Anolis sagrei: one gene and its partners. The main gene of each other region encodes a partner of the protein of the gene in region 3 in a complex. Links are inferred from orthologs where the notes say so. Each region holds a gene or a part of one and is shown on either strand. Other genes may lie near its edges. The genes, in order: THOC6, THOC7, CHTOP and THOC3.

The links.
Region 1: CHTOP (region 3) and THOC6 share a complex: the UniProt entries of both Homo sapiens proteins name them as parts of the transcription/export (TREX) complex. The link is inferred for Anolis sagrei from reciprocal best matches to the Homo sapiens genes CHTOP and THOC6.
Region 2: CHTOP (region 3) and THOC7 share a complex: the UniProt entries of both Homo sapiens proteins name them as parts of the transcription/export (TREX) complex. The link is inferred for Anolis sagrei from reciprocal best matches to the Homo sapiens genes CHTOP and THOC7.
Region 4: CHTOP (region 3) and THOC3 share a complex: the UniProt entries of both Homo sapiens proteins name them as parts of the transcription/export (TREX) complex. The link is inferred for Anolis sagrei from reciprocal best matches to the Homo sapiens genes CHTOP and THOC3.

The regions. Positions count from the first base shown.
Region 1 is NC_090026.1:16,484,814-16,491,834, reverse strand, and holds the start of THOC6 (THO complex subunit 6 homolog), read right to left. Parts: upstream 3,064-7,021; 5' UTR 3,005-3,063; coding exon 2,966-3,004; intron 2,870-2,965; exon of another isoform or gene 2,734-2,869; intron 582-2,733; coding exon 466-581; intron 367-465; coding exon 302-366; intron 1-301. UniProt on the Homo sapiens protein: Component of the THO subcomplex of the TREX complex which is thought to couple mRNA transcription, processing and nuclear export, and which specifically associates with spliced mRNA and not with unspliced pre-mRNA.
Region 2 is NC_090022.1:33,441,460-33,448,843, forward strand, and holds the start of THOC7 (THO complex subunit 7 homolog), read right to left. Parts: upstream 3,010-7,384; 5' UTR 2,945-3,009; coding exon 2,926-2,944; intron 995-2,925; coding exon 877-994; intron 1-876. UniProt on the Homo sapiens protein: Component of the THO subcomplex of the TREX complex which is thought to couple mRNA transcription, processing and nuclear export, and which specifically associates with spliced mRNA and not with unspliced pre-mRNA.
Region 3 is NC_090032.1:1,492,455-1,500,380, forward strand, and holds the start of CHTOP (chromatin target of PRMT1 protein), read left to right. Parts: upstream 1-4,911; 5' UTR 4,912-5,198; intron 5,199-7,926. UniProt on the Homo sapiens protein: Plays an important role in the ligand-dependent activation of estrogen receptor target genes. May play a role in the silencing of fetal globin genes.
Region 4 is NC_090022.1:78,399,853-78,407,447, reverse strand, and holds the start of THOC3 (THO complex subunit 3), read right to left. Parts: upstream 3,060-7,595; 5' UTR 3,020-3,059; coding exon 2,831-3,019; intron 568-2,830; coding exon 411-567; intron 1-410. Other genes in the region: SIMC1 (SUMO-interacting motif-containing protein 1), read left to right, coding at 5,160-5,249. UniProt on the Homo sapiens protein: Component of the THO subcomplex of the TREX complex which is thought to couple mRNA transcription, processing and nuclear export, and which specifically associates with spliced mRNA and not with unspliced pre-mRNA.

The DNA of each region.
Region 1 (7,021 bases), on a different chromosome or scaffold from region 3:
AACCAAACCCATTAAAACATAGCACTAAAGCATCAATTAAAATCACATGATCCATTATGTATCATATCCACAAGCCTTGTATCTAAATTCAAACCACATTCCACTGACTAAACGAACTGCAGCCTTCCAGGTGTTACTGTATTACAACTGCCATTAGCTCTAGTTATGATGATTATGATGAGGAACATAGGAGTTGTAGTCCAGTATCTGGAGAGCCACATAAAATGACATGGTGGGTCAGATCTGAACAGTCACAAACATGACAGGAATTGCTTGGATTCACCGGACCATAATGATCTACCTGTAAAGGAAACCACTGGCTTCTTGCTCTCTTCCTTGGCCTCTGAACTCAGTGCTGCTGAAAGGCTGTAAAGAGGAGGGAAAGACCGTGAAATGTAACTTGTAATCATTTCAAATTAATGTCTCACCCAAAAACACCCTTTGTGTTAAGAAAGCACTAGCTACCTGAATATGGCAATCTCTCCATAATTGTTCCCAGCCGCTAAATACTTTCCACAAGGCGAGACGCTCTGGGAGTAGACGGTCATGTGCAGCAGCTCAAGGGATCGCTGGATATTCATCTGGCAAAAGGTGGGATGAGAAGTCAGGTCAGTAGTACCACCCTAAATATGCTAGTCTTCACTGGTTTGGCGAAGTGAACAAGATCAAGCCTGGAGATCTCTAGTGTTTGGAAACAATCCGGCCTGTAATTCTGGAGAGTGGCTGTAAATTAGTATGGACAATATTGGGATAAATGGATCAATGAAGAGTTTCCTATCTTCTTGAATTTATGAAGGAAGGATGCTTAAAACTGTTACTGAGTTTTTGTTGTTCATTCGTTCAGACACTTCAGACTCTTCGTGACCTCATAGACCAGCCCACGTCAGAGCTCCCTGTCGGCCGTCACCACCCCCAGCTCCTTCAGAGTCGAGCCAGTCACTTCAAGGATATCATCAATCCATCTTGCCCTTGGTCGGCCCCTCCTCCTTTTTCCTTCCTTTTTCCCCAGCATCATTGTCTTCTCTAAGCTTTCCTGTCTTCTCATTACGTGTCCAAAATACTTCATCTTTGCCTCTAATATCCTTCCCTCCAATAAGCTTTTCTTCCTGAAATATGGACTGGTTGGATCTTCTCATGGTCCAAGGCACTCTCAGAATTTTCCTCCAACACCACAGTTCAAAAGCATCTATCTTTCTTCGCTCAACCTTCCTTATGGTCCAGCTCTCACATCTGTAGGTTACAACGGGGAATCCCATTGCTTTAACATTGCTAATGTGATGTCTCTACTCTTCACTATTTTATTGAGATTGGTCATTGCTCTCCTCCCAAGAAGTAAGCATCTTCTGATTTCCAGTCTGCAGTCTGCATCTGCAGTAATCTTTGCACCTAGAAACACCAACTCTGTCACGGCCTCCACATTTTCCCCTTCTATATGCCAGTTATCAATCAGTCTGGTTGCCATAATCTTGGGGTTTTTTTTAATGTTTAACTGCAACTTAGCTTTAGCACTTTCTTCTTTCACCTTGATTAGAAAGCACCTGGGGAAAGTGGAAGGCAAAAGGAAGAGGGGCCGACCAAGGGCAAGATGGATGGATGGCATCCTTGAAGTGACTGGACTGACCTTGAGGGAGCTGGGGGTGGTAACGGCCGACAAGGAGCTCTGGCGTGGGCTGGTCCATGAGGTCACGAAGACTCGGAGACGACTGAACGAATGAACAACAACAACAAGAAAGCACCTCAGCTCCTCCTCGCTTTTGCCCATCAAAGTGGTATCATCTGCATATTTAAGGTTGCTAATGTTTCTTCCAGCTATTTTAACCCTGACCTTGCATTCATCAAGCCCTGCATGATGTGTTCTGCATACAAGTTGAATAGGTTGGGTGAGAGTATACAACCCTGCCGTACGCCTTTCCCAATCTTGAACCAGTCTGTTGTTCCATGGTCAGTTCTTACTGTTGTTACTTGGTCCTTATACAGATTCCTCAGGAGAGAGATAAGGTGATTTGGTATCCCCATACCACCAAGAACTTGCCACAAATTATTAGGATCCACACAGACAAAGGCTTTAGAATAGTTACTGAGTCTACCTACTATTAAAATACCTTTGCTTATGTGTCGTAAGATGCTTTAAGTCAGATATAGGCAAACAGCCCTTCAGGTGTTTTGGACTTCAACTCCCACCATTCCTAACAGCCTCAGGCCCTTTCCTTTTCCCCCTCAGCCGCTTAAGCGGCTGAGGGGGAAAAGGAAGGGGCCTGAGGCTGTTAGGAATGGTGGGAGTTGGAGTCCAAAACATCTGGAGGGCCCAAGTTTGCCCATGCCTTCTTTAAGTGAATTGTTCCAATTGGTTTTTTGGACTTCAATTCCCATCCATCTTGGCCAACAGTCAGGAATCCTGGGAGCAAGAAGTCCAAAATACCTGGAGGAACAAAATGAGACACTGTTGCTTTAAGTGAATTCCTGTCCAAAGATACTAATAATTTCAAAAATTAAGAAACCATATCCATTTATTCACGCCTTCCCCGCAAACCAAAAGAACCACAGAATTGATTTGTTCTCCAAGAAGATTCAGAACCAATTCCAGAAAGCATTCTTCACTTTCTATCTCTATGGGCAAGTAAGGAAAGAGAAGCTTCCACGAGCGCAAGGCATCACGGGAGTCGTAGTCTTCCCAGAGCCATATCCTACCAGAGGGCGGGGAAGAAGCGACAGTTGGGACTACATTTCCCAAGCTACCTCGCGGTGGAGTTACATTCCGTCACGTGACTGAAAAAAGGCATTTTGTTGCTACTTTCCTACGCCGCTTCGTCCCCGGCTTCAAAGAGAGGGCTCCTCCAACCAGAAGAGAGTCGTAAATCGTATTTGCACGGTAAGAATGAGAAAAGCCTTGCCTTATCATACAGCGCATGCGCACAAGAGACCTGTAGGCCCACATCCCCCTTCCTAGGCTAGGCCCTCTACTAACCGTTGGTGGCGCCGCGTTTCCCTCCTCTGCTTGACGCATGCGCAGAGAAGCAACGCGCTTCAATGGCAGGGAAAGCCACGCCCCTTCTGAGGATAGACACGCCCACCGTGAGGGGAATGTATGAAGTCGGTGTTGCTAGGGCTCTCTTAAAATGGCCGCCTGGAGCGCAAAGCACTCTGGGATCTCTATTGCTTGCCTTTCTGTGGGCGTGGGCCTGGATTAGTAGGCCCAAGTCAGGCCAGGGCAGAGAGGTCTTGTCCTGAATTGCCCTCAAAAGGCTTGCCTCCTAATGTGACCTTTTTAGACCCTGAACCTTGGAAAGAAAGACATGACAAGGATACATTCATAATAGATCAAGGAAGGCTATGAGAAAGGTTGCATTACGGGAACTGTGCTGGTACGGCTGTAAAGATAGTCCCCTGACATTAAGTCCAGTCATGTCTGACTCTGGGGGGTGGTGCTCATCTCCATTTCAAAGCCGAAGAGCCAGCGTTGTCCGTAGACACCTCCAAGGTCATGTGGCCGGCATGACTGCATGGAGCGCCGTTACCTTCCCGCCGGAGCGGTACTTATTGATCTACTCACATTTGCATGTTTTCGAACTGCTAGGTTGGCAGAAGCTAGGGCTGACAGCAGAAGCTCACGCCGCTCCCCGGAATCGAACCTGAGACCTTTTGATCAACAAGCTCAGCAGCTCAGTGCTTTAACCCACTGCGCCACCGGGGGCTCCAATAGGGCCAATGACCCATCAATGATTATGTTGTTTAGTTCCGCCCCTTTTTCTGGGTTAAGGAGGGGGAAAGGGGGGCCTGTAGTCAGGCCTGTAGCGAGGGGGTGGTTTTAGGGGTTCAACCCCCCCCCCCCCCTGAAATGTTTCAGATTTTTTAAAAAACCTGGTTTACTCATGAATTTTAACTGGTTAACCAAATCCCCATGCTAAGTCTATGAGATGCAAAAAATTACAGAGTCCCTCCAGAACTGCAAGCACTATCTCAAGCAAATATTGACAATTTATCCACACTGTCATTACTTGCAGCAATAGCCGATGTAGTAAAGCAACCAAGTTGGGTGTGTTTGTGTTGAATTCTCTCATTAAGGAGGCCAGACTTGGTGGAGGTGGTTGACAGGGGCGGAGCTGCAGGTTATTGAAGGCTGCTCTGCCCTCTGCTGTGCTCTTTGCTTCAGCGTGGGCTAGGAGGCAGGTTTCACCCCCCCCCCCCCCCGCAAAATTTTCAACCCCTCCCGAATTTTGTTTCTGGCTACGGCCCTGCCTGTAGTTCAGTTTACACAGAGAAGCCTTTCATACAGGATGTGAATCAGTTCCACCTGTAGAAAGCTTCGTCTTTTACAGCTTTGCTGGGGGATCCAGTCCCACAGCTCTACCGAGAACATCAAGCAAAAAGTGGGTGCTAGAAACAATATCATACGAAAGCTGACTGGCACAACCTGGGGATCACAACCAGATACAGTGAAGACATCTGCCCTTGCGCTGTGCTACTCTGCTGCTGAGTATGGATGCCCAGTGTGGAACACATCTCACCACTAAAACAGTGGATGTGGCTCTTAATGAGACATGCCGCTTTATCACAGGGTGTCTGTACCCTACACCACTGGAGAAATTACACTGCTTAGCCGGTATTGCACCACCTGACATCCGCCGGGAAGTAGCAGCCAATAGTGAAAGGACCAAGGCAGTGACATCTCCAGCTCACCCCCTGTTTGGGTATCAGCCAGCATGTCAATGACTTAAATCTAGAAATAGTTTTCTAAGATCTACAGAGACACTCGCTGGAACACCTCAGCCCTGACACGACAAATAAATACCGAGAACTACAGCATAGCCTTTGTTGGGGAATTTAGTTCCACAACTCTACAGCCAGCTCTTTGCTGGAGAAATACAGCTCCACGGTTTTTCAGCCAGCCTTCACTGGGAAACAAAGGACTTCTTTCCTCTTGAAAATCTACACAGAGACTTTGGCCTGGTAAGGACCTCTTGCGGCAGCCATAATGCAAATTGGAACCGAGTATAGGGGCCCCACGCCAGCAAAGCCTAAATATAGATTGCTCAAGAAGGGGTCAAGGATTTCCCTTATAGAAGGAAGAAACAGTTTATGAAGAAAGTTGCCTGTCCCTTGTGGACAAGATTTAAGCAAGCCACCAGTTGATTCAAAGCCTTGAAGTATTTGTTTGATTTATTAAAGATTTAAGTAACAATAAAAACTTTGTTGAGCTTTCTAAGTCTTTAAAATAACTTTGTGTGGAGAAATCCAAACGGCCTCTCAGCCGAGGCACCCCCGGCGTCCCGTTGGGCATTCAGAAAACACGTCCTGTCTACAGACTCTTTCGCAGGCCCAGCGCGTGACAGCATAGGAACAGTTTTTGTGGACCTTATGGCAGCCCATGTTATGGTGCAACATGAAACCAAACCGTAGCTAATAACAACAGTCCACTGTCCATATATTATTCTTTTCCTCTTCTAATCATTGCAGTTTATCATTGTTTCAGTGGGCTAGGTGTTAGGTGTCCTCCCTTCCTTTTCCTCTTCTCCAAACACACCATTTATGCCATAACATTAGTATTCCTTGAAGCAAAACAGGCATTGCATCCGAACATTAAAAAAACATACAGCACTAAAATAGCCCACTCAGTCCATTGCAAGCATCAACTGTTGTTTGGATCAAGTGTGACCTATTCTGGTATTATGCCTTAATGTTTTACAACCATCAGCAGTGAAGGATACGGTAACAGTCCAGCCAGAAAAGTTATGTACTTGCAAGTGTTACTTCACTTGTTTTCAACTGAAGTAAGACAACATCAAGGCTCCTTCTACACTGCCATATAATCCAGATTATCAAAGCAAATACTCCACATTATCTGCTTTGAACTGGATTATATTAGTCCACACCTTCCGTATAATATAAGTCGCCCTAAAGGGCTGAGAACGGCGGTCAACAAATGCAGCTAATAAATAAATAAATAAATAAATAATCCAATTCAAATTATATAATCTGGATTTTATATGGTAGTGTAGAAGGGAGCCGAGTCTCTTTTTAGAGAGAAAAAATTGGGTATTAATAATTATTATAATAATGACTATACTTGGTGTGTATGGATGCAAGTTCTTAGGCTCCTTCTACTTTCATATAAAATCCATATATATATATGCTTTGAACTGGATTATATGGAAGTGTGAATGCAACCCAGTTCAAACCAGATAATGTGGATTATCTGCTTTGATCATCTGGACTATATGGCCATGTAAAAGGGATCTTACATAAACATAAGGTCAAGTCTAGGGATGGGAAGCATTGGCTCTCCAGATGTTGAACTCCAATTCCCATTAGCCTCACCTAGCAGGGCCAGTGGTCAAATATGATGGGGAGAGTTCAACAAGATATAAAAGGACTTCCAGTGTTTCTCATTTTGGCCAAACCTTTGTGGTTGAAAATGAGGTTTTGAATTGGAGATGCTGGGCCATGAATTTAATACATTTCTGAGTCTATGTGAAATAATCAAGTCAATTTAAGTTATTCCTTCTTTTCACACCCAAAAACTTCAGTAAAGACTAGCATTACCATAAATCTCCTAAAGTGCACAGCTCTATAGGATCACCATGTATTCTATATTCAATAGAAGACTGGTTCAACCAGAGAGGTGGGCTGTGGTGGAGCACTTGGTGGGCCAACCTGGACATGGCGTGTTATTTAGGAGCACAGAAATGCTGGACCACTTTGGCGGCTGCCATGTCGAACGGCACAGGGAGACCATTGAAGTCCACATGCATGTGGACAGTTTGAGCAGAGGGGAGGAGGCCATGGGGAGGAGCAAAATCTGGGTACCAGTATTAAGAGACCCTAGGATTGGGACAGTGAATGAAGAGGAGCTCTCAAAAAAGGGGGAGTTCCAGATGGGAGGCAGACAAGGCTAGTTAATCACTTCCCAACAGGGGATTCCCTCAGCCAGGAAGCAGCCAGGCTTTGAAGCTGCAAAGCTATTCAATGAAAGAGCTATAGATCCAGGCAGGAGGCCGACTGCGTTGGATAATACAGAACATTG
Region 2 (7,384 bases), on a different chromosome or scaffold from region 3:
GAGGCTAGAGCTGATAAGAGGGAGCTCATCTGTGCTCTCCCCAGATTTGAACCTCCAACCTGTTGGTCTTCAGTCCTGCTGACACAAGGGTTTATTTTATTATTTTAAAGCACCGAGGGCTCTATCTGCATACACGTCTCTGCCACTTTATTTACAGGACATGACTATCTACAGTCAGTGTAAACTGCAAAATACATTATCAAGGTTCATAATTCCAGAGAGAATGCGGAATAATGTACATTTGGAAATGTCAAAATACTTAAGTAACTAGTGTATGATACTTGCTCAGAGTCATTTACATTTCATTACAACCTTTACACTATTTCAATATTTGTTTTCCTGAAAAAGAGTCTTTCTTTGTGTTCATTGAAATATACTCTACCAGTAAAAAACTTCACATTCAAAATGCACTACTAAATGTCATTGGACACAATCCCCATGCCCCTTTAACATTAGTAGATATTACAGAGTACTGGCGTTTGATGGGCTGCACTTAGTTTCCATTTATTGATAAGATTTTACCATGTATAAATATGTGAGAGGAAGCCACAGGGAGGAGGGAGCAAGCTTGTTTTCTGCTTCCCTGGAGACTAGGACGCGGAACAATGGCTTCAAACTACAAGAGAGGAGATTCCATCTGAACATGAGGAAGAACTTCCTGACTGTGAGAGCCGTTCAGCAGTGGAACTCTCTGCCCCGGAGTGTGGTGGAGGCTCCTTCTTTGGAGGCTTTTAAGCAGAGGCTGGATGGCCATCTGTCAGGGGTGATTTGAATGCAATATTCCTGCTTCTTGGCAGGGGGTTGGACTGGATGGCCCATGAGGTCTCTTCCAACTCTCTGATTCTATGATTCTATGATTCTAAGATAGAAAAATACCCTTCTTCTTGGGATCCAGAATTGCACCACTTGATGAAACTCTTCACCAACAAATTAATTCGTCTGTCATCACCAGCACCATCTCCATCAATCAAAAGTCGCTTGCGAATAACTTCATCTAAAGAAGAAACAATATTTCAAAATTAATAATGTTCGTTTATGAGTTGTGATCACAGACACAGGGCCCTTCCACACAGCCCTATAACCCAGAATATCAAGGCAGAAAATCCCACAATATCTGCTTTGGACTGGGTTATCTGAGTCCACACTGAGATGTGGGATTTCCTAGCTTGATATTCCCTGATATAGGACAGTGTGGAAGAGCCCATAGTCAGGACCTAAGGAAATTACCTGAATCTTGGATCAGATCGCAGTACAAAGGGCTGTGTGGAAGGGCCCTCCAACCACAGATGGGGAACCATTCACTTTCCAAAGGTTTTGGCCTCTCTATTTCCATCCAACATGGGCCAATGACTGTGGATTGTGTGATCCAAAATATTTGGAGAGTCAAATGTCCCTCACATCTTCCTTAAATATATACATACTGTTATCAAAATAAGGATATTTTCCTTCTTTTTAGATACATTGTTTAATTAATGCAAATAGGAAATCAGAATCTAACTTTAAAGTAAAATTGATTATTATTACCATTATTATTAACATTGTTATGTGGAGAAAGACAAATCTAAGGGCCCTTCCACATAGCCATATAAACCAGAATACCAAGGCAGAAAATCCCACAATATCTGAACTGGGTTATCTGAGTCCACACTGCTATATATTCCAGTTCAAAGCAGAAAATGTGGGATTTTATCCAGCTGCATGGAAAGTACTTGAAGTGTGAAACAGGAGAATGATACAGGGAATATGGAAACGACCAAATGCAAAAAAAAATTTATTCAGCTGTGTGGAAGTGGCCCCAGATAACCCAGTTCAAAACTGAGACTGTGGGATTTTCTGCCTTGATATTCTGGGGGCTCTTCCACAAGGCCCTGAATGCCAGAATATCAAAGCAGAAAATCCCACATTATCTAAGGGCCTTTCCACACAGCCATATAATCCTGAATATCAAGGCAGAAAATCCCACATTATCTAAGGGCCTTCCCACACAGCCATATAATCCAGAATATTGAGGCAGAAAATCCCACAATATCTGCTCTGAACTGAGTTATCTGAGTCCACATTGCCATATATCCCAGTTCAAAGCAGAAAATGAGGGATTTCATTCAGCTGTGTGGAAGGGGCCTGTGTGGATTCAGATAACCCAATTCAACGCAGATATAGTGGGATTGTCTGCCTTGATATTCTGGGATATAGGGCTGTGTGGAAGGGCCCTCAGATAACCCAGTTCAAAGCAGATATTGTGGGATTGTCTGCCTTGATATTCTGGGCTATAGGGCTGTGTGGGTTGTCTGAGTCCACATTGCCACAATATCTGCTTTGAACTGGGTTATCTGAGGGCCCTTCCACACAGCCCTATATCCCAGAATATCAAGGCAGACAATCCCACTATATCTGCGTTGAATTAGGTTATCTGAATCCACACAGCTGAATGAAACCCCTCATTTTCTGCTTTGAACTGGGATATATGGCAATGTGGACTCAGATAACTCAGTTCAAAGCAGATATTGTGGGACTTTCTGCCTTGATATTCTGGGCTAGAGGGCTGTGTGGGTTGCCTGAGTCCACCGTGCCATCTATCCCAGTTCAAAGCAGAGAACGTGGGGTTGTATTCATTCAGGTGTGGAAGAGGCCTCAGGGCGCCCCACACTCCTTCCCAAAGGTGAAAACCACCCCAGGAGGGGGAAGAAGAGAGCGAAGGCCTCAGTGAGGAGGAGGGAAGAGGAGGCCTGGAAGAGGAGGAAGGATGTGAAGGCCTTGCTGAGGCGAAGGCCATGAGGGCAGAAGGGACTCGAGCCTGAGGGAAAGGAAGGAGGAAAGAAAGGAGGAAAGAGAGGGCCCGGGAAGGCCTCGCTGGCTGGGAGCAAGAAGGGTCGCGGCGGCCGCTGTCCCCTCCTTGGCCGGCTCTGGAGGCGCTGGGTCTCTCACCATCGGTGACGGCGCCCATGGCGATGGCGAAGGCCGCGGCGGAGGCAGGAGGGAGCGAGTGAGGAAGTGAGGGAGTGAGGCGGCTTCCCACAATGCAGCGGCGGCGGCGGCAGTAGCAGGAGCAGCCGGGTAAGCGGCGGCGGCAGCAGCAGGAGCAGCAGGAGCGGCGGCGGCGGCCATGGAGGGGGAGGAGGAGGCGTCGTCGTCGTCGTGGGCTGCTGCGCCTGGGCCCTGAAGCAGGCCGGGCGCGGGTTCCAAGGGGAGGGCGACTCGCTAGGCTTGGCTCGGCAAGCAGGCCCGCCTCGCCCCGCCCGCCTGCCCCTTCCTCCGCTCCAGGTGAGAGCCAGGCAGGGGGAAGCGTTCACCCACCACCAGAAATCCCTGCCTCTCCCCTTTGGTGACCTTTTGGCCACGCTGGGGAATTAACGCAGTTTGACACCGCTTCGAAGGCAGGTTGGACTTTTGGTGAGGCCCCAGCCAGAGAAGGCGCCAGGCCTCGGGAAACTTTTCAGTGCTACGGGATCCTGGGATTTATAGATTTGGGTGAGGCACCTACACACTGACAGAAGCTAGTGCAGGCCTGGGCGAACTTGGGCCCTCCAGGTGTTTTGGATTTCAACTCCCACAATTGTGGAACTTGAAGTCCAAAACACCTGGTGGGCCCAAGTTCACACAGGCCTGAGCTATAGAGTTTGTGAAACTACATCTCCCATGAATACATAGTATCCAGCCAGGATAAAGTGGGGTCAAACTCCACCCATCCTACCTTTACAGGCATGGCTCAATGCTATGGACTCCTGGGATTTGTAGTTTTGGGTGAGGCACCTACACTTGGGCAGAAAGCTATCTCCAGCCTGAGCCAACTTGGGCCCACCAGGTGTTTTGGACTTCATCTCCCACAATTGTGGAAGTTGAAGTCTAAAACACCTGGTGGGCCCAAGTTCACCCAGGCCTGAGCTATAGAGTTTGTAGAACTACGGCTCCCGCGAATCCATAGCATCCAGCCAGGATAGATAAAGTGGTGACAGACTGCACCCATTCTATCTTAACAGGTATGGCTCAATGCTATGGAATCCAGGGATTTGGTTTTGGGTGAGGCACCTACACTTGGGCAGAAAGCTAGTTCAGGCCTGGGCAAACTTGGGCCCTCCAGGTGTTTTGGACTTCAACTCCCACTAGCTCAGGCCTGGGCCAACTTGGGCCCTCCAGGTGTTTTTTGACTTCAACTCCCACAATTTTGGAAGTTGAAGTCCAAAACACCTGGAGGGCCCAAGTTCACCCAAGCCCGAGCTATAGAGTTTGTAAAACTACATGTCCCATGAATCCATAGTGTCGAGCCAGGATAGATAAAGTGGTGTCAAACTCCACCCATCCTACCTTAACAGGCATGGCTCAATGCTATGGAATCCTGGGATTTGTAGTTTTGGGTGAGGTACCTACATTTTGGCAGAAAGTCAGAGAGTTTGTAAAAGGATAGTTAAAGTGATGTTTTGTTGGGGATGCCACTTGAACATTAGGAAGAACTTCATGACTGTAATAACACCTGTTCAGCAGTAGACTACATGGCCCATGTGGTCTTCATGATTCTGTGTCAAACTGCAATGATTCTACTTTAATGGCCGTGGCTCAATACTATGGAATCCTGGGATTTGTAATTTTGGGTGAGGCACCTACACGTGGGCAGAAAGCCATATAGTTTGTAAAACGATAGTTAAAGTGATGTTTTATTGGGGATTCCACTTGAACATTAGGAAGAACTTCATGACTGTAATAACACCTGTTCAGCAGTAGGCTACATGGCCCATGCAGTCTTCATGATTCTGTGCCAAACTGCATTGATTCTACTTTAACGTCCATGGCTCAATGCTATGGAATCCTGGGATTTGTAGTTTTGGGTGAAGCACCTATACTTTGTCAGCAAACTAGACTCGAGTTTGTAAAACTACAGTTCCCATGGTATCATAGTAGTGAGCCAGGGTAGTTAAAAGATGTGTCAAACTGCATCCATTCTACTTTAAAGGCCATGGCCTCTAGTTATGGGTGAGGCACCTACAGTTTGGCAGAAAGCTAAAGAGTTTGAAAATCTTCCATGATTTTATTGTATTGAACCTGGATAGTTAAAGTGATGTCTTATTGGGGATTCCACCTGAACATTAATAAGAACTTCCTGACTGTGAGAGCTGTTCAGCAGTGGAACTCTCTGCCTCAGAGTCTGGTGGAGGCTCCTTCCTTGGAGGCTTTTAAACAGAGGCTGGTCAGGGGTGCTTTTAATGTAAGTTTCCTGCTTTTTGACAGGATGGTCCACAAGGTCTCTATAATTCTATGTCAGACTGCATCTATTCTGCTTTAACAGCCATGGCTCAATGCTTTTGAATCCTGGGATTTGTAGTTTTGTGAGTCACTTGGGCAGAAAGCTAGAGAGTTTATAAAAGGGCAGCTCTCATGATTCCATCATCTTGAGCCGGGATAGTTAATATAATGTCTTATTGGGAATTCTGCCTGAACATTAGGAATAACTTCCTGACCATTCCACAGTGGAACTTTATGCCTCAGAGTATAGATCAGGGGTCCTTAAACTTTTTAAACAGAGGGCCAGGTCACAGTCCCTCAAATTGTTGGAGGGCCGGATTATAATTTGAAAAAAAAAACATTTATGAATTCCTATTCACACTGCACATATCTTATTTGAAGTGCACAAACACTTATTTGAAGTGCACAAACAATATAATAATTAAAATGAAGAACAATTTTAACAAATATAAACTTATTAGTATTGCAATGGGAAGTGTGGGCCTGCTTTTGGCTTATGAGATGGAATTGTGGTTGTTGTGTGCTTTCTGGTCGTTTCAGACTTAGGTTCACCTTGAGCAAGGACTGGGTAAATGACCTTGGAAGGCCGTATCCGGCCCTCGAGCCTTAGTTTGAGGATCCCTGGTATAGATGGTCCAAGTGATCTTTATGATTCTGTACCAAACTGCATCGTTTCTTCTTTAATGGCCATGGCTCAATGCTATGGAATCCTGGGATTTGTAGTCTTGGGCAGGGAAGGCAAGAGGCTTTGTAAAAGGACAGCTTCCATGATTACATAGCATTGAACCATTATATTTAAAGTGACATTAAACTGCATTAACTTTACTGTAATGGCCATGATTTATTGCCATGACTATGTTATGGATTTAGAATGGTTCCCAAACTGTAATATTTCAGGAATTTTGGATGTGGGCTTCCAGAACCCCTGATCATTTTGGCCAGGGCATCTGAGACCAAATATCCCTTGAAGAATAGCGTTTGGGATTCACTGCTTAATGTGATCATGGGTGTTGATCGGTGAGGTGAGGCATACACACTCTTAGGCAGAGAAGGCTAAAGAACTTGTAAAACTACTGCTCCCGTGATTCCATAGCATTGAGCCATGACATTGAAAGTGGTGTCAAATTGCATTAATTCTACTTTAACAGTCATGGTTCAATGTTATAGAATCATGGGAGTTGTAGTTTGGTGGGCAGAATAGGCCCAGGACGTTGTCAAACGATAGCTCCCATAATTCCATGTGAACTGTAGTTTGTGGAATCCTGAGAACTGTGGTTTGGTGAGGCCTCAGCACTCTTCGGCAGAGAATGTAGAAGACCTTGCAAAGCTACAACTCCCGTGATTCCATAGCATTGAGCCATGACTGTTAAGATGGCGTCAAACTACATTAATTTTACCGTATAGATATGCCCTAAGATTATCTGTATGTAAATATTCCAAATCGAACCAGTGTGGTGCAGTGCTTTGAGAATTCAATGATAGCATTGGAGGCCTGGATTTGGTTCACTGCTCATCCATGGAAACCTGCTGGGTGACCTTGGATGAATCACATCTTCTCAGTTCCCGAAAACCCAAGTCACCTTGGGATTTCTCTAAATCAGAAGTGACTTGAAGGCAAACAACAACAGATAGCCCAAAATCCTAAATTCAAAATAATACTGGTCCTAAGCATTTTGGATAAAGGATACTCAAGCTGTTCTACCATTATGAGGTCTTTTGTAGCCTGTTTATCGCTTTCATGACCTCCTTCACTGATGCCATTTTCACTATCCCTCACTCATATTATCATTGTTGTTGCCATAATAATTTCATCTCTGCTGCCACTTCTGTTTTCTCCCAACCATTTCTGCCATTACCATCTCTTTTGCTGCTACTACACTGGCCTGCTTTCCTTATTTACCACCTGTTTCCCTTACCTATCAGAGTCATCTATAGCTTTCAGTAGGGCACCATTACTGTAAATGCTTTTCATTATGCTTTGTCATGTGTGCATCTTTTATTGTTATTGTTCCCGTGTTTATATTCTGTGCTGGTATGCTAGGTCTTCTGTTTCCTGTGTATTTGTGGAAAGGCACATCCATTAAGAACACTTCCATTATGGTTGATATTACCACAGTTTTTTCTAATTATTTTTCTTTTTGGGGGAATG
Region 3 (7,926 bases):
GAGGAGAAGAGCCACCCGGGGAGCCACGCAGAACCCATGGGGGTGGAAGGGGCCCCAAAGAAGGCCATCCAGTCCAACCCCCTTCTGCCATAACAGATAGATAGATAGATAGATAGATAGATAGATAGATAGATAGATAGATAGATAGATAGATAGATAGATAGATAGATCCATAGATGCATAGATAGATGCATAGATAGACAAACAGTATCCTAGAGTTGGAAGGGCTCCCCAGAGGCCATCCAGTCCAGCCCTCTTCTGCCATAACAGATAGATAGATACATTGATAGATAAATACATAGATAGATAGATAGATAGATAGATAGATAGATGGATGGATGGATGGATGGATGGATGGATGGATGGATAGAAAGATGCATAATTAGAGTTGGAAGGAGGCCCCAGAGGCCATCCAGTCCAGCCTCCTTCTTCCATAATAGATACATGGATGGATGGATGGATGGATGGATGGATGGATGGATGGATGGATAGATAGATAGATAGATAGATAGATAGATAGATAGATAGATAGGATAGATGGGAGGATAGATGGATGGAAGGAAGGATAGAAGAATGGATGGGTGGATGTGAGGACAGATGAATGGATGGATGGATGGATGGATGGATGGATGGATGGATGGAAGGAAGGAAGGAAGGAAGGATGGATGGATGGGAGGACAGATGGGTGGATGAATGGAATGATAGGAGGATAGATTGATGGATGGAAGGATAGAAGAATGGATGGATGGAAGGAAGGAAGGATGGATAGAAGGATAGGAAGATGGATGGATGAATGGATAGGAGGATGGATGGATGGATGGATGGGAGGATAGATGGATGAATGGAAGGATAGAAGGATGGATGGATAGAAGGATAGGAAGATAGATGGATGGAAGGATAGAAGAATGGATGGATGGAAGGAAGGATGGATGGATGGAAGGAAGGATAGGAGGATAGATGGATGGAAGGATAGAAGAATGGATGGATGGAAGGAAAGATGGATGGATGGAAGGAAGGAAGGATAGGAGGATAGATGGATGGAAGGATAGAAGAATGGATGGATGGATGGAAGGAAAGATGGATGGATGGAAGGAAGGAAGGATAGGAGGATAGATGGATGGAAGGATAGAAGAATGGATGGATGGATGGAAGGAAAGATGGATGGATGGAAGGAAGGAAGGATAGGAGGATAGATGGATGGATGGAAGGATAGGAGGATAGATGGATGGATGGATGGATGGATGGAAGGAAGGATAGGAGGATAGGAGGATAGAATGGATATTTATATTTATTTATCGTGTCATCAGCAACCATACCATTGTGTTACAATTCTAACAGAACAAAACAAACACACAGATTAAAAAGAAAAAAAAGGAAAAAGAAAAAAAACACACAGATTTTGCAAACTTGGATGGATGGAAGGAAGGAAGGATGGATAGATGGATGGATGGATGGATGGATGGATGGATGGATGGATGGATGGATGGGAGGATAGATGGATGGGAGGATAGATAGATGGATGGAAGGATAGAAAAATGGAGGGAAGGAAGGAAGGATGGATGGAAGAAAGGATAGAAGGATGGATGGATGGATGGATGGAAGGAAGGAAGGAAGGAAAGAAGGAAAGAAGGATGATGTATGGATGGATAGATAGATAGATAGATGCATGCTGCATGCATACATACACAGGTAAACAAATAGTATCCTAGTGTTGGAAGGGGCCCTCAGAGGCCATCCAGTCCAACCTCCTTCTACCATAATAGATACATGGATAGACAGACAAATGGTAGGTACCCTAGAGTTGGAAGGGGCCCCCAAAGAAGGCCATCCAGTCCCACCCCCTTCTGCTCAGGATGTTTCCTGCCTGTTTCTGCCTGCAAGATGCAATGGGGCGCTCCCTTCCTCCTCCTCCTCCATGGGGCCTCCTTATCTCTTGTATCCGTGGCTGAGACACTCCTTGGCACCCGGTTTGGCAGGATTGGCAATTGGGCACAAACACAAACAGACACAGCAGTGGGAGGGGCCTTCAATGCACATCATTTGAAGAGACCCACAAAGGATATCCAGCCTGGTGGGCAGGGAAGACCCCACCAAAACCCTCCCGACAGATGTCCCGACTGTCTGTACCTCTCAATCCAGAGCTGTGGATTTAACGGGCCGATTGCAACACATGCGTCTGGAATATGTACATAATTCATCTCTTATAATAATACACAAATATATAATGTATACATCATCATCATGATCATTATTCCAATAATAATAATTAATTAACCTCTTGGATGACCCCTTTGACCACCTTCTACCCTCTTTCCATTGCCCAGGATGGATGGATGGATGGATGGATGGATAGATAGATAGATAGATAGATAGATAGATAGATAGATATTTGCAACTCACCTGCTGTCACCGAGAGATCTCTCCAGCCGATGTTGATCCCTCTGAGTGTGTCTTGCTGAGTGTGTCTTGCTGAGCGCAATCCAGATCCAGGATCCTGATCAGCAGGAAGATCCACCTGGCTCTCCATGCGCAATGCTCCTGCTCCGGGAAAAGGCTCAAAGGACTCTCCGGGAGCCCCAAAGGACATCCAGCCCAACCCCAAAATACAGGAATCCTTTTTCTTAATCATCCCTTTCCACTTTAATTCCAGATTATTATTATTATTATTATTATTATTATTATTATTATTATTATTATATCTGTTGTTGTTTTTGTTTTTAAACAGTCTGCTCTGATACAAAGATTCTATTATTCTATTCAGCTAGCTCTTTCTCCGAATGGCCATCTCTCAGGAGGGATTGAATTGTGTGGATGGATGGATAGACAATCTATGATGGCAGAAGGGGGTGGACTAGATGGCCTTCTTTGGGGTCCCTTCCAACTAAGAGCCTGCCTAACTATCTCCTTCTCTGTGTGGCTATCTATCGGGAGGGATTGAATTGTATCTATCTGTCTTATCTATCTCCTTCTCTGGATGGCTATCTATTGGGAGGGATCGAATTGTGTGTTCTTATCTATCTGTCTGTCTGTCTGTCTCTCCTCTGTGTGGCCATCTATTGGGAGGGATTGAATTGTATCTATCTGTCTTATCTATCTCCTCTAGATGGCTATCTATCAGGAGGGATCAAATTGTGTCTTCCTATCTATCTATCTATCTATCTATCTATCTATCTATCTATCTCCTTCTCTGGATGGCTATCTATCAGGAGGGATCGAATTGTGTCTTCCAATCTATATATCTCCTTCTCTGGATGGCTATCTGGCAGGAGGGATTGAAATGTGTCTTCCTATCTATCTATCTATCTATCTATCTATCTATCTATCTATGTCCTTCTCTGGATGGCTATCTATCAGGAAGGATTGAATTGTGTCCCTATCTATCTATCTATCTATCTATCTATCTATCTATCTCCTCTGGATGGCTATCTATCGGGAGGGATTGAATTGTGTGTTCTTACTTATCTATCTGTCTGTCTCCTCTGTGTGGCCATCTATAAGGAGGGATCAAATTGTGTCTTCCAATCTATATATCTCCTTCTCTGGATGGCTATCTATCAGGAGGGATTGAATTGTGTCTTCCTATCTATCCATCTCCTCTGGATGGCCATCAATTGGGAGGGTTTGAATTGTGTCTTCCTATCTATCTATCTATCTATCTATCTATCTATCTATCTATCTATTAACCTATGTCCTTCTCTGGATGGCTATCTGTTGGGAAGGATCGAATTGTGTCTATCTATTGATCTCCTCTGAACGGCCATCTGTCGGGAAAGATCGAATTGTGTCTTCCTATCTATCTATGTATGTCTCTATCGATGTATCCATCCGTCTCCTTCTCTGGCCATCTGTCAGGAGGGCTTTGATCCTGCTTTCCCTGCCTGGCCAAAGATGGTCGGACTGGATGTCCTTTGGGGGTCCCTCTTCCAATCCTTGGGACTCTTTGCTTCCATAGCCTTATTTCTCCACGAACCCGGTCATGCCTATGAGGCTGACTGGCCATCTGTCGGGAGGGATCACATTTAAGGTATGTATGAGCAGAAAAGGCGGTTCCATTTGAGAGCCACGCTGCAATGCTCGGGAACGGCCACTGGAGGGCGAAAGAGAGCTGGACCTGCCCCTAGATATAGGAAAGGCAAGAGTGCCAAGTCCAGAGGGAGAAGCCATTTCCCTGGAGACTTCTTGTACTTCTCCATCCAGCCCCGCCTCCTTGACGCATGCGCAGTGTCACCGTTCTTGTCCCATAATCTAGTCTCTTTTAACGCATGCGTAGAAGCACCATTTGTCACAGTCCCTCACTGTCTTAACGCATGCGCAGTGGTGCCGTCCTGATGTCTCCTATAATGCCGGATCCTTTAACGCATGCGCAGAGGCACCATCCTGTCAGTCCAGCCCTCTCGTTTTCAACGCATGCGTAGTGGCACCGATTGGTCAGTCAAGCCAGTCTCTTTTAACGCATGCGCAATGGCATCATTCTTATTCCTCAGTCCAGCTTAGTCTCCTTTAACGCATGCGCAGTGGCACCGTTTTGTCAGCCGCGTTTCTTTCAACGCATGCGCAATGGCATCAGTCATTTTCGATCCAGGTGAGTCTCCTTTAACGCATGCGCAGAGGTACCGTTTTGTCTAGTTTCAACTCATGCGCAATGGCATCATTATTACTCGGTCCAGGTTCGTTTCTTTTAACGCATGCGCAGTGACACCATTTTGTCTAGTTTCAACACATGCGCAATGGCATCATTCTTATTACTCGGTCAAGATTAGTCTCCGTTAACGCATGCGCACTGGCACCGTTTTGGTCCGTCAGTCAATTTTAACGCATGCGCAGTAGCACCATTCTGGTTCCTCGGGTCTGTTTCGTCTCCTAAACGCATGCGCAGTGTCACAATACTGGCCTCGCTTGTCCCGCCTCGCCTCCTTAACGCATGCGCAGTGTCGACGCCGCCTCCGCCATTTTGCCGGGCTTCGTCTGAGGGGAGTGTGGAGAGCGAGGCCGGAGCCGAAAGGGAAGAGAGAGAGCGAGAGGGGGCAAGGGGAGGCGGAGTTCGGACTAGAGGAGGACACGGAGACCGCCACCATCTTTGCGTTCGGGGCGCCCGAGCGGGGAGGGGGCCGGGCCAAGCCTGAGCGGAGCCTCCCGCCGCCGCCGCCTCTCCCCGCAGAGCCCGGCCAGGCCGAAGCCAGCCAGGCCCGAGCCCGACGGTGAGCCCCGAGAGGGGGGGAGGGGGAGTGGGGAAATGGGGGGGCTGAGGGGAGAGGCAGCACACGTGACCCCCTTCCGAGGCCCCGCCCCCTCGTTGAGCCGAATAGATAGATAGAAAGGCACCATTCGATCCCTCCCGGTAGATGGCCGTCCAGAGTAAATAAATAGATAAATAGGAAGACATCATTCGATCCCTCCAGATAGATGGCCATCCAGAAAAGATAGGTAGATAGATAGATAACAAGACACAATTCAATCCCTCCTAATAGGTGGCCATACAGAGAAAATAGATAGATAGATAGACAGATAGGAAGACACAGTTCAATCCCACCTGATAGATGTCCATCCAGAGAAGATAGGTAAGAAGACACAATTTGATCCCTCCCAATAGATGGCCATCCAGAGAAGATAGATAGATAGATAGATAGATAGATAGGAAGACACAATTAGCTCCCTCCTGATAGATGGCCATCCAGAGAAGATAGAGAGATAGATAGGAAAACACGATTCGATCCCTCCCAATAGATGGCCATCTAGAAAAAATAGACAGGTAGATAGATAGATAACAAGACACAATTTGAGCCCTCCTTATACATGACCATCCAGAGAAGATAGATAGATAGATAGACACAATTCAATCCCTCCTGATAGATGGCCATCCAGAGTAGATAGGTAGATAGATAGGAAGACACAATTCAATCCCTCTGATAGATGGCCATCCAGAGAAAATACATAAATAGGAAGACATCATTTGATCCTTCCAGATAGATGGCCATCCAGAAAAGATAGATAGGTAGGTAGGTAGAAAAATAACAAGACACTATTCAATCCCTCCTGATAGATGGCCATCCAGAGTAGATAGATAAATAGATAGATAGATACAATTTGAGCAGTCCCGGTAGATGTCCATCCAGGGAAAATACATAAATAAATAGGAAGACACAATTTGATCTCTCCAGATAGATGGCCATCCAGAAAAGATAGATAGGTAGAGATAGATAACAAGACACAATTCAATCCCTCCTGATAGATGGCCATACAGAGAAGATAGATAGATAGACACGATCCGATCTCTCCAGATAGATGGCCATCCAGAAAAGATAGATAGGTAGAGATAGATAACAAGACACAATTCAATCCCTCCTGATAGATGGCCATATAGAGAAAATAGATAGATAGATAGATAGATAGACAGACACGATCCGATCTCTCCAGATAGATGGCCATCCAGAAAAGATAGATAGGTAGATAGATAACAAGACACAATTCAATCCCTCCAGATAGATGGCCATCCAGAGAAGATAGATATATAGGAAGACACTATTCGATCCCTCCCAATAGATGGCCGTACAGAAAGGCTAGATAGATAGATAGATAAAAAGACACAAATTGAGCCCTCCTGATAGATGGCCATCCAGAGAAGATAGATAGATAGATAGATAGATAGATAGATAAATAGGAAGACACGATTCGATCCCTCCCAATAGATGGCCATCCAGAAAAGATAGATAGATAACAAGACACAATTTGAGCCCTCCTGATAGATGGCCATACAGAGAAAATAGATAGGTAGATTGGAAGACATAATTCAATCTCTCCCAATAGATGGCTATCCAGAGTAGATAGATAGGAAGACACAATTCAATCCCTCCCTATAGATGGCCAGAGTAGATAGGTAGATAGGAAGGCACAATTCAATCCCTCCTGATAAATGGTCATACAGAGAAGATAGATAGATAGATAGATAGGAAAACACATTTCGATCCCTCACGATAGATGGCCATCTAGAAAAATAGATAGGTAGATAGATAACAAGACACAATTTGGGCCCTCCCGATAGATGACCATCTAGGGAAGATAGGAAGACACAATTCAATTCCTCCTGACAGATAGCCATCCAGAGAAGATAGGTAGCAAGACACAATTTGATCCCTCCCAATAGATGGCCATCCAGAGTAGATAGGTAGGTAGATAGCTAGGAAGACACAATTCAATCCCTCCTGATAGATGGCCATCCAGAGAAGATAGATAGATAGATAGGAAAACACAATTTGATCCCTCCTGATAGATGGCCACCCAGAGAAGATAGATAGATAGATAGAAAAACACAATTAGCTCCCTCCTGATAGATGGCCACCCAGAGCAGATAGGTAGAAAGATAGGAAGACACAATTCAATCTCTCCTGATAGATGGCCACCCAGAGAAGATAGATAAATGGGAAGGCACAGTATATTATTATTTTACTGTTATTTTACAGAAAATAACAGTAATTGTTTACTGTTACTATTTTACTATTATTATTTTAGCTGTTGTTGTTTATTATTATTGACACAAAAGCACAATATGTCACAGCAAACGAGATCTAGATGCTGGATTTCGTATCCCAAAATCACAAGTCAAACCCTTCCCAAACGTCTAGGACTGTGTGCTGTATTTTCAAATGATGCGCACAGATCCAAGTCAATTGACAGATCGTGATTTTGTCGATGTTTATTGTTTCCGAGTGCCGGCTGAGATCTTTTGGCACGGCACCCAGTGCGCCAAATATTATTATTTATTTATTTACAGCATTTATATCCCTAGGGGAACTCAAAGCATCATTGTCTTGTCTAAAAATATTACCCTCTTATTTGGAATGGCAATATCATTTTATTATTATTATTGTCTTGTCTAAAAATATTACCCTCTTATTTGGAATGGCAATATCATTTTATTGAGGGTTTCCA
Region 4 (7,595 bases), on a different chromosome or scaffold from region 3:
CACAGTAGAAAAACCGGACAGAGCCAAGAAACCTCTTCTGCAAGGAAATTTACAACTTGGGAGAAATCACCAGATTGTCCTCTTTTAAGGATTTTGAAACCTGGGTTAACTAATACAAGGAGACATGGGGGCTTGGGACAGCCTTTCAGACCTAAGCCTCAGAAGATGATGTTACTTGGACACTGTTCAAGTAACATTTCTAAAACATAACAAGAGTAAAATACAGTTTCAGCTCAGCCCACTTTTTAGGGGAAAAGATCTGATGAAGGAGAGAGATCTACATGGGTTAAAAGTGCAATTAAAAAGTGATGTCTTCTCAGGATTAATTTCTTATTTTAGTACTCCCCCAATTACATGATCAAATACTTGCAAAAGACAGATATTCTTCAATTAAGATTAGTGTCATTTACCTTTGGTGTTCACTGTGGCAATGCACTTAGTGGTGCGGACATCCCAGATACGAATGGTTTTATCTCCAGATGCCGTGACAAATAAGTCAGGGTTACTGGGGTGCCAGCACAACTGATCCACACTATCTCCATGGCCACGGTAATTACTCTCCTTCACCTAGAGAGGGAAATGAAGTACAGTTTTAAATTCCACATCATTATGTACAGATGTGTGCACAAACACACATTTCTGCCTTTCTCAAATAATCCAGCAACTAAACTTTTGGTGAGGCCCCAGCACTCTGAAAGAGAAGGCTAACAACCTTGTAAAACTACAACTTCCATGATTCCACAGCATTGAGTCATGGCAATGGTATCAAAGGGCATTAATTCTGAAGTGTAGATGCAGTCCCAATTTACAAAAGATACTATCAACTTTGTTCTTTCAGGATGAATTTATCCACTTGAATGCAGGAATTTTATTAAATTTCCAGAATATGTAAAATTTATGCAGCTTTACACCAGAGCCTATGCTGGCACTGTGAGTCAAACAGCAGAGCTGCTGAACTTGTTGACCAAAAGGTCAGTGATTCGAATCCAGGGAATGGGGTGAGCTCCTGCTGTTAACCCCAGCTTCTGCCAACCTAGCAGTTTGAAAACATGCAAATGTGAGATTAATAGGTACCGCTTTGGCGAGAAGGTAACAGCACACCATGCAGTCATGCCAGCCACATGACCTTGGGGGTGTCTACAAATAACACTGGTTCTTTGGCTTAGAAATGGAGATGAGTAGAAATGGAGATGAGCACCACCCCACATACTCACACAACTAGACTTAATGTCAAGGGGAAATCTATACCTTTACCACCCCTTTAATTGCCATGGCTCAATGCTGTGAAATCCTTGGAGTTGTAGTTTGATTAGGCAGCCAGCAATCTTTAGCAGAGAAGGCTAAAGACCTTGTAAAACGACCACGGCTTTGAACTTTACCACACAAATGTCATTATGAATTTCATTCAGCCACATCTTGTAACACAAGGAACAGCTACAGTGGTTGCCAACCTTTGGCCTCCAGGTGTTTTGGACTTCAGCTCCCAGAAATCCCAGCCATCTTACCCCTACCTTAGAAACCTTTTAAAAGGACCTTAAAACCTGGCTCTTCTGCTGTGCTTTTGATGAATAGGTTTACATTCTCACACTATTTGTCAACGTTTTGTCATTGGAGTATATGTGTTCCCCTTTGTGGGAAAGCCTGATTCCACAACCCCCACTATAATGAGTCCTCCTCTGCAAATAATCTGTCTCTCTCTCATCTCACCTGAGTTTTAGTTAGTTTTAATCAGTCTCTTTTAATCATTACATGTTGCCAGCCCAGTTTTCTTAGATCTACAGAGACACTCGCTGGAACACCTCAGCAAGCGAGAGTTCAAAAGTGGCAGGCTCAAACCCAGCACCTCAATCCGTGGGTGATACCAGATGAGAGACTCCCCTCTGGGCACACAGAAAACTGGGCGACTTGGAAGGCGCTGAACAGACTGCGCTCTGGCACCATGAGATGCAGAGCCAATCTTAAGAAATGGGGCTACAGGGTGGAATCCTCGGCATGCGAGTGTGGAGAAGAGCAAACCACTGACCACCCGCTGCAATGCAACCTGAGCCCTGCCACATGCACGATGGAGGACCTTCTTGCAGCAACACTAGAGGCACTCCAAGTGGCCAGATACTGGTCAAAGGACATTTAATCCACTACCAAGTTTGCAAAATCTGTGTGGTTTTTTTATCTGTTTGTTTGTTTTGTTCTGTTAGAAATGTAGTACAATGTTCTGGTTGCAGATGACACGATAAATAAATAAGCCCATTTTCATTGTGATTGTGCATATTGTAATTTTATATTGCTATCATATGTTTTATGTAATTATGTTGTTTGTTGTTTATTGTTTGGGTTTTCGGTTTTATTTTATTGTAATTTTCAGTTTGGGCTTGGCCTCATGTCTGCCGCTCGGAGTCCCAATTGGGGAGATGGTGGCCGGGTATAAATAAAGATTATTATTATTATTATTATTATTATTATTATTATTATTACCAGCTGTTAGGAATTGTGGGAGCTGAAGTCCAAAACACCTGGAGAATCACTGATCTACACAGACCATTTAACGTAGTAGGGAAGAAAGTGGTTTGAAAGCATATGCGATTGCTTAGCATGGGAGATCCTGGGACCAGTTTTGGGGTCCGGGTGGCGATTACACAGACCACAGAGCACTAATGCGTATTAAGGGCTTTTCATGCGCTTTGGTGGGAGTTTGCTGTCTGGCCTCCTTTTAAATGGGACCGTGTAGATGGGCCTAAGCAGCGTCACATCAAGTTGCGAAGAACACTGGCCGTGATGGAGGCAAGGCGAGGAGGCTTTGGGCGGGCGCGGCCCACATCCCTCTGCCGCTTACCAGGCGGTCTTTGTCGAGCACGAAGACGCTGGCGGTCTTGTCGAAGGAGCCGGAGGCGAGGCGGCGGCCGCAGCAGCTCCAGGCCACCGAGTGGACCTTGGCGCCGTGGGCTGGGAACTCGCGGCTGCGCGTGTTGGCGCGGAAGAGCTCCTGCATGGCCTGCACGTAGGGAGAGGACGGCGCCGCCATGGCAACCCCACCCCGGACGCTCAGCCCGCGCGCCTTCCGCTTCCGGGACAGAAAGGGCGCGCCTCCGTGACGTCACTGCTCGCGCCTGTGCCTTCCTCTGGAATGGGCAAGTGACAGCTGTGGCCCGGGTTGGGAGTGGGCCTCGCCTCATCCCTTGAGGGCCTTGAACTTCCAGATATCCTAAACTGGCTGGGAGTTCTGGGAGTTGTAGGCCAAAACCCCTGGGGAGCCACAGGTTGAGAAGCACTGGTATAAGAAATGCAGTGTGACATTTCACCCACAGCTATGGCAGGCTCAGAGGTAGTGCGCTTTGTTGGAAACAAGACAAGCGGGGTTTAGCTATCTCTGCAATGTCCAGGATAGGAGAAAGAACTCTTGAGGCAAGTGTGACTGTTGCAATTGGCTACCGTGATTAGCATTTAATGGCCTTGCAGCTTCAAAGCCTGGATCGTTGCTGTCTAGGGGAATCCTTTGCTGGGAGGTGTTACCTGGCCCTGACTGATTCATGTTTCACGGATTGATTCAACCTCTGGACCAGGCATGTAGCGGGGGGGGGGGGGGGGGGGCTTTGGGGGCTTCAGCTCCCCCCCCCCCCGAAATTCACATGGTGGTCCACGAAAAGACCTTACTGCTACATTATTTAAACATGTTTATTCATATCATGATCTGATCACCATGCTCAATATATCCCATATGCATGGGGGTATTGGGGTAACGATACAAAAGGTTTGCTAGGGTAGACCCTCTTTCACTCAGACTCAGCCCCCCCCCCCCCAAATCAAAATCCTGGCTACAGGCCTGCTCTGGGCTCCCAACCTTTGAGGATGCCTGCCGTAGATGCAGGTGAAACGTCAGGAGAGAATGCTTCTGGAACATGGCCACACAGCCCGAAAACCTCACAACAACCCAGCATCCCTTTTCCTTCGGGCACACAAATATCGAGCCTACAACGCCTCGCTTTGGGAGAGGCTTGGCAGCTTCCTCTTCTTTAAAAGAAGCACCAGAGGGAACTTTCTTTGGCCCCACTCCAAATTGATTGACATCAAGGACACAACTCTAGTCTATTGTTCTCTGACCATGACTTACTTAATGAGACATGCCGCATTATCACAGGGTGTCTGCACCCTACGCCACTGGAGAAATTACACTGCTTAGCCAGTATTGCACCACCTGACATCCGCCGGGAAGTTGCAGCCAATAGTGAAAGGACCAAGGCAGAGACATCTCCAGCTCATCCCTTGTTTGGGTATCAGCCAGCATGTCAACAACTTAAATCAAGAAATAGTTTTTTTAGATCTACAGAGACACTCGCTGGAACACCTCTCAGCAAGCGAGAGTTCAAAAGTGGCAGGCTCAAACCCAGCACCTCAATCCGTGGGTGATACCAGATGAGAGACTCCCCCCTGGGCACACAGAGGACTGGGCGACTTGGAAGGCACTGAACAGACTGTGCTCTGGCACCACGAGATGCAGAGCCAATCTTAAGAAATGGGGCTACAAAGTTGAATCCACGACATGCGAGTGTGGAGAAGAGCAAACCACTGACCACCTGCTGCAATGCAACCTGAGCCCTGCCACATGCACAATGGAGGACCTTCTTGCGGCAACACCAGAAGCACTCCAAGTGGCCAGATACTGGTCAAAGGACATTTAATCAGCTACCAAGATTGCAAAATTTGTGTGGTTTTTTTATCTGTTTGTTTGTTTGTTTTGTTCAGTTAGAAATGTAATACAATGTTCTGGTTGCAGATGTCACGATAAATAAATACTTTCTTAATCTGTTATTCTGTTGCAAACATAACTTCAGAGCAACTGGGAAACTTGGGAGGTTCTAACGAGCCGGTTTTGTCCGGATGTACTGTTATCCTTGACAAGTAGCTTCCTCTCTGCAGCACTGTTGTCTCAAACCATCAGCATTTTCTGTAAACAAAGACCTATTGCAGAAACAGGCCGAGATGGCAGTAGTAAATGACATCTCTGAAAATTCCCTTTTAAAACTACGTCTCCTTCAGTGGGAGTTGTAGCTTGGTGAAGCACCCAGCCCTTCCTGGCCTCGCTCTGGGAGAGAACTTTCCTTGGCCCCACTCCCCATCTGAGTAGGCCACGCCCCCTAGTGGGCGGGACCACGCCGAGAGGCAGCATGGAGGAGGAAGACGTTCTCTATGTGGGACCGCTCCCAGGCAAGAAGGCTTCGCGGCAAAAGCGGCGGCGGTGCCCACAGAAACTCGCGGTGAGTGTGGCTGCGCTTGCCCGCAGCCAAGATGGAGGCACTTCCGTTCTGCTTCTGCTCCCGCGCGCGGGGAAGGCTCTGATCTTCTTCGCTCCCCGTTACCTCAGCGTTGACATCATGTTTGTCTATGTGTAGATTTTGAACTGTACCGAGTCTCCTTCTTGGAGAGAAAAGCGGGGTATAAATAAACAACATCGTTTGTATTGTCGAAGGCCGGAATCACTGGGTTGTTGTGAGTTTTCTGGGCTGTATGGCCATGTTCCAGAAGCATTCTCTCCTGACGTTTCGCCTACATCTATGGCAGGCATCCTCAGACGTTGTGACAGTCTGAGGCATTTCAAAATCATTCTCTCCTGACGTTTCGCCTGCATCTATGGCAGGAATCCTCAGAGGTTGTGACAGCCTGAGTCATTCCAGAAGCATTTTCTCCTGACGTTTCACCTGCATCTATGGCAGGCATCCTCAGAGGTTGTGACAGCCTGAGGCATTCCAGAAGCATTCTCTCCTGACGTTTCGCCTGCATCTATGGCAGGCATCCTCAGAGTTTGTGACAGCCTGAGGCATTCCAGAAGCATTCTCTCCTGACGTTTCGCCTGCATCTATGGCAGGCATCCTCAGAGGTTGTGACAGCCTGAGGCATTCCAGAAGCATTCTCTCCTGACATTTCTCCTGCATCTATGGCAGGCATCCTCAGAGGTTGTGACAGCCTGAGGCTATCACAACCTCTGAGGATGGCTGCCATAGATGCAGGAGATACGTCAGGAGAGAATGCTTCTGGAACATGACCATACAGCCCAGAAAACTCACAGCAACCCAAACTACAAGATCATAATCCTAACCCTCATTTTCTGCCTTTTTTGCCCAAAAGAGGTGCGGGCACCTATTCGTTCGCTATTTGGCTCAAAAGTACCAAACGGGGATTTTGAAGCTGAGGCTTTAAGGCCCCTTCTACACTGCCATAATGAAGGGGATAATGGACACCAATTTAATTTGATTTAATTTGATTAATAAATAGCAATGGTATGAAGAATAGTTTCATCAAATAAATTTTCAAACCATAAATCAAATGATAACATTCTTAGACATCAACATCAGGCAACAGTGAAACAATCATCTTCGCCCCCCTCCCTTTTTTGGGACTGTTTTAGATGTTTACATTACGGCAGAGGCGGCCCTAGATAATTTTCAATGGTAAGCAAACAGTATTTTGGTGCCCCCCCCACCCAACCAATCACTGATAGATATATATATTCTGTTTGTCGTGGGAGTTCTGTGTGCCATATTTGGTTCAATTCCATCATTGGTTGAGTTCAGAATGCTCTTTGATTGTAGGTGAACTATACATCCTAGTAACTACAACTTGCATGTCAAGGTCTATTTTCCCCCAAGAGCGCCTCAAGAGCGCCCCTGGGCAAAATCAACTGTACTGCGAATGCTTACTTTGCGTAATGGGTTGAGCCGCCCCTGCATTACGGAGCATGACTGGCACAAACAGGAAGTCCACCTACATCGTAGGATTGACTTTGACACTTTTTAATTACCTAAATGGATTATAGCTGTTTTAAAACATGAAGGGGGCTGGGATATGGTCCCTAGTGAAATGGAATTTTCTTGGCCCTTTAATTCCAATGCAGCTTTCAAATGCCTGAAAAGTTCCAGCAAGGAAAGATAAAACTGTAAGGATGGCTTGGCAGTTGGGCACATTCTTTTTGGTTCCAAATCTAGTATATTGGAATTGTGTTTAAACTGTGATCCTGTGTTTAGAGCTGTTTTGCCCCCTAATGACCTCCCTCATGGTGAGCACTGACAGCGGGTCCTTTTATATATATATATATACCATTATGAATATTAATGTTCAACCATAATTTCAGCCTTTGTATTGTCGAAGGCTTTCATGGCTGGAATCACTGGGTAGTTGTAGGTTTTTTCTGGCTATATGGCCATGTTCTAGAGGCATTCTCTCCTGACATTTCACCTGCATCTATGGCAAGCATCCTCAAAGGTAATGAGGTCTGTTGGAACTAACAAAATTGGGTTTATATATCTGTGGAATGACTAGGGTGGGACAAAGTACTCTTGTCTGCTGGAATGTTGTCTGCTGTGAATGTTTCAACTGATCACCTTGATTAGCATTTGATGGCCTGGCAGTTATTTGGTGTGGCTTGTTAGTGCCTGAGGGAATCTTTTTTTCAGAGGTGATTAGCTGTTCCTGATTGTTATATCGACTGGCTCATTTGTCACAAAAAATCATTGTGTGGATTGCTGAAATCTGGCTTTTGATATAATGACCTGTCTCTGCTAACTAACATACAGTGACTTTTAACAAGCCTCAGAGCACAATCTAAA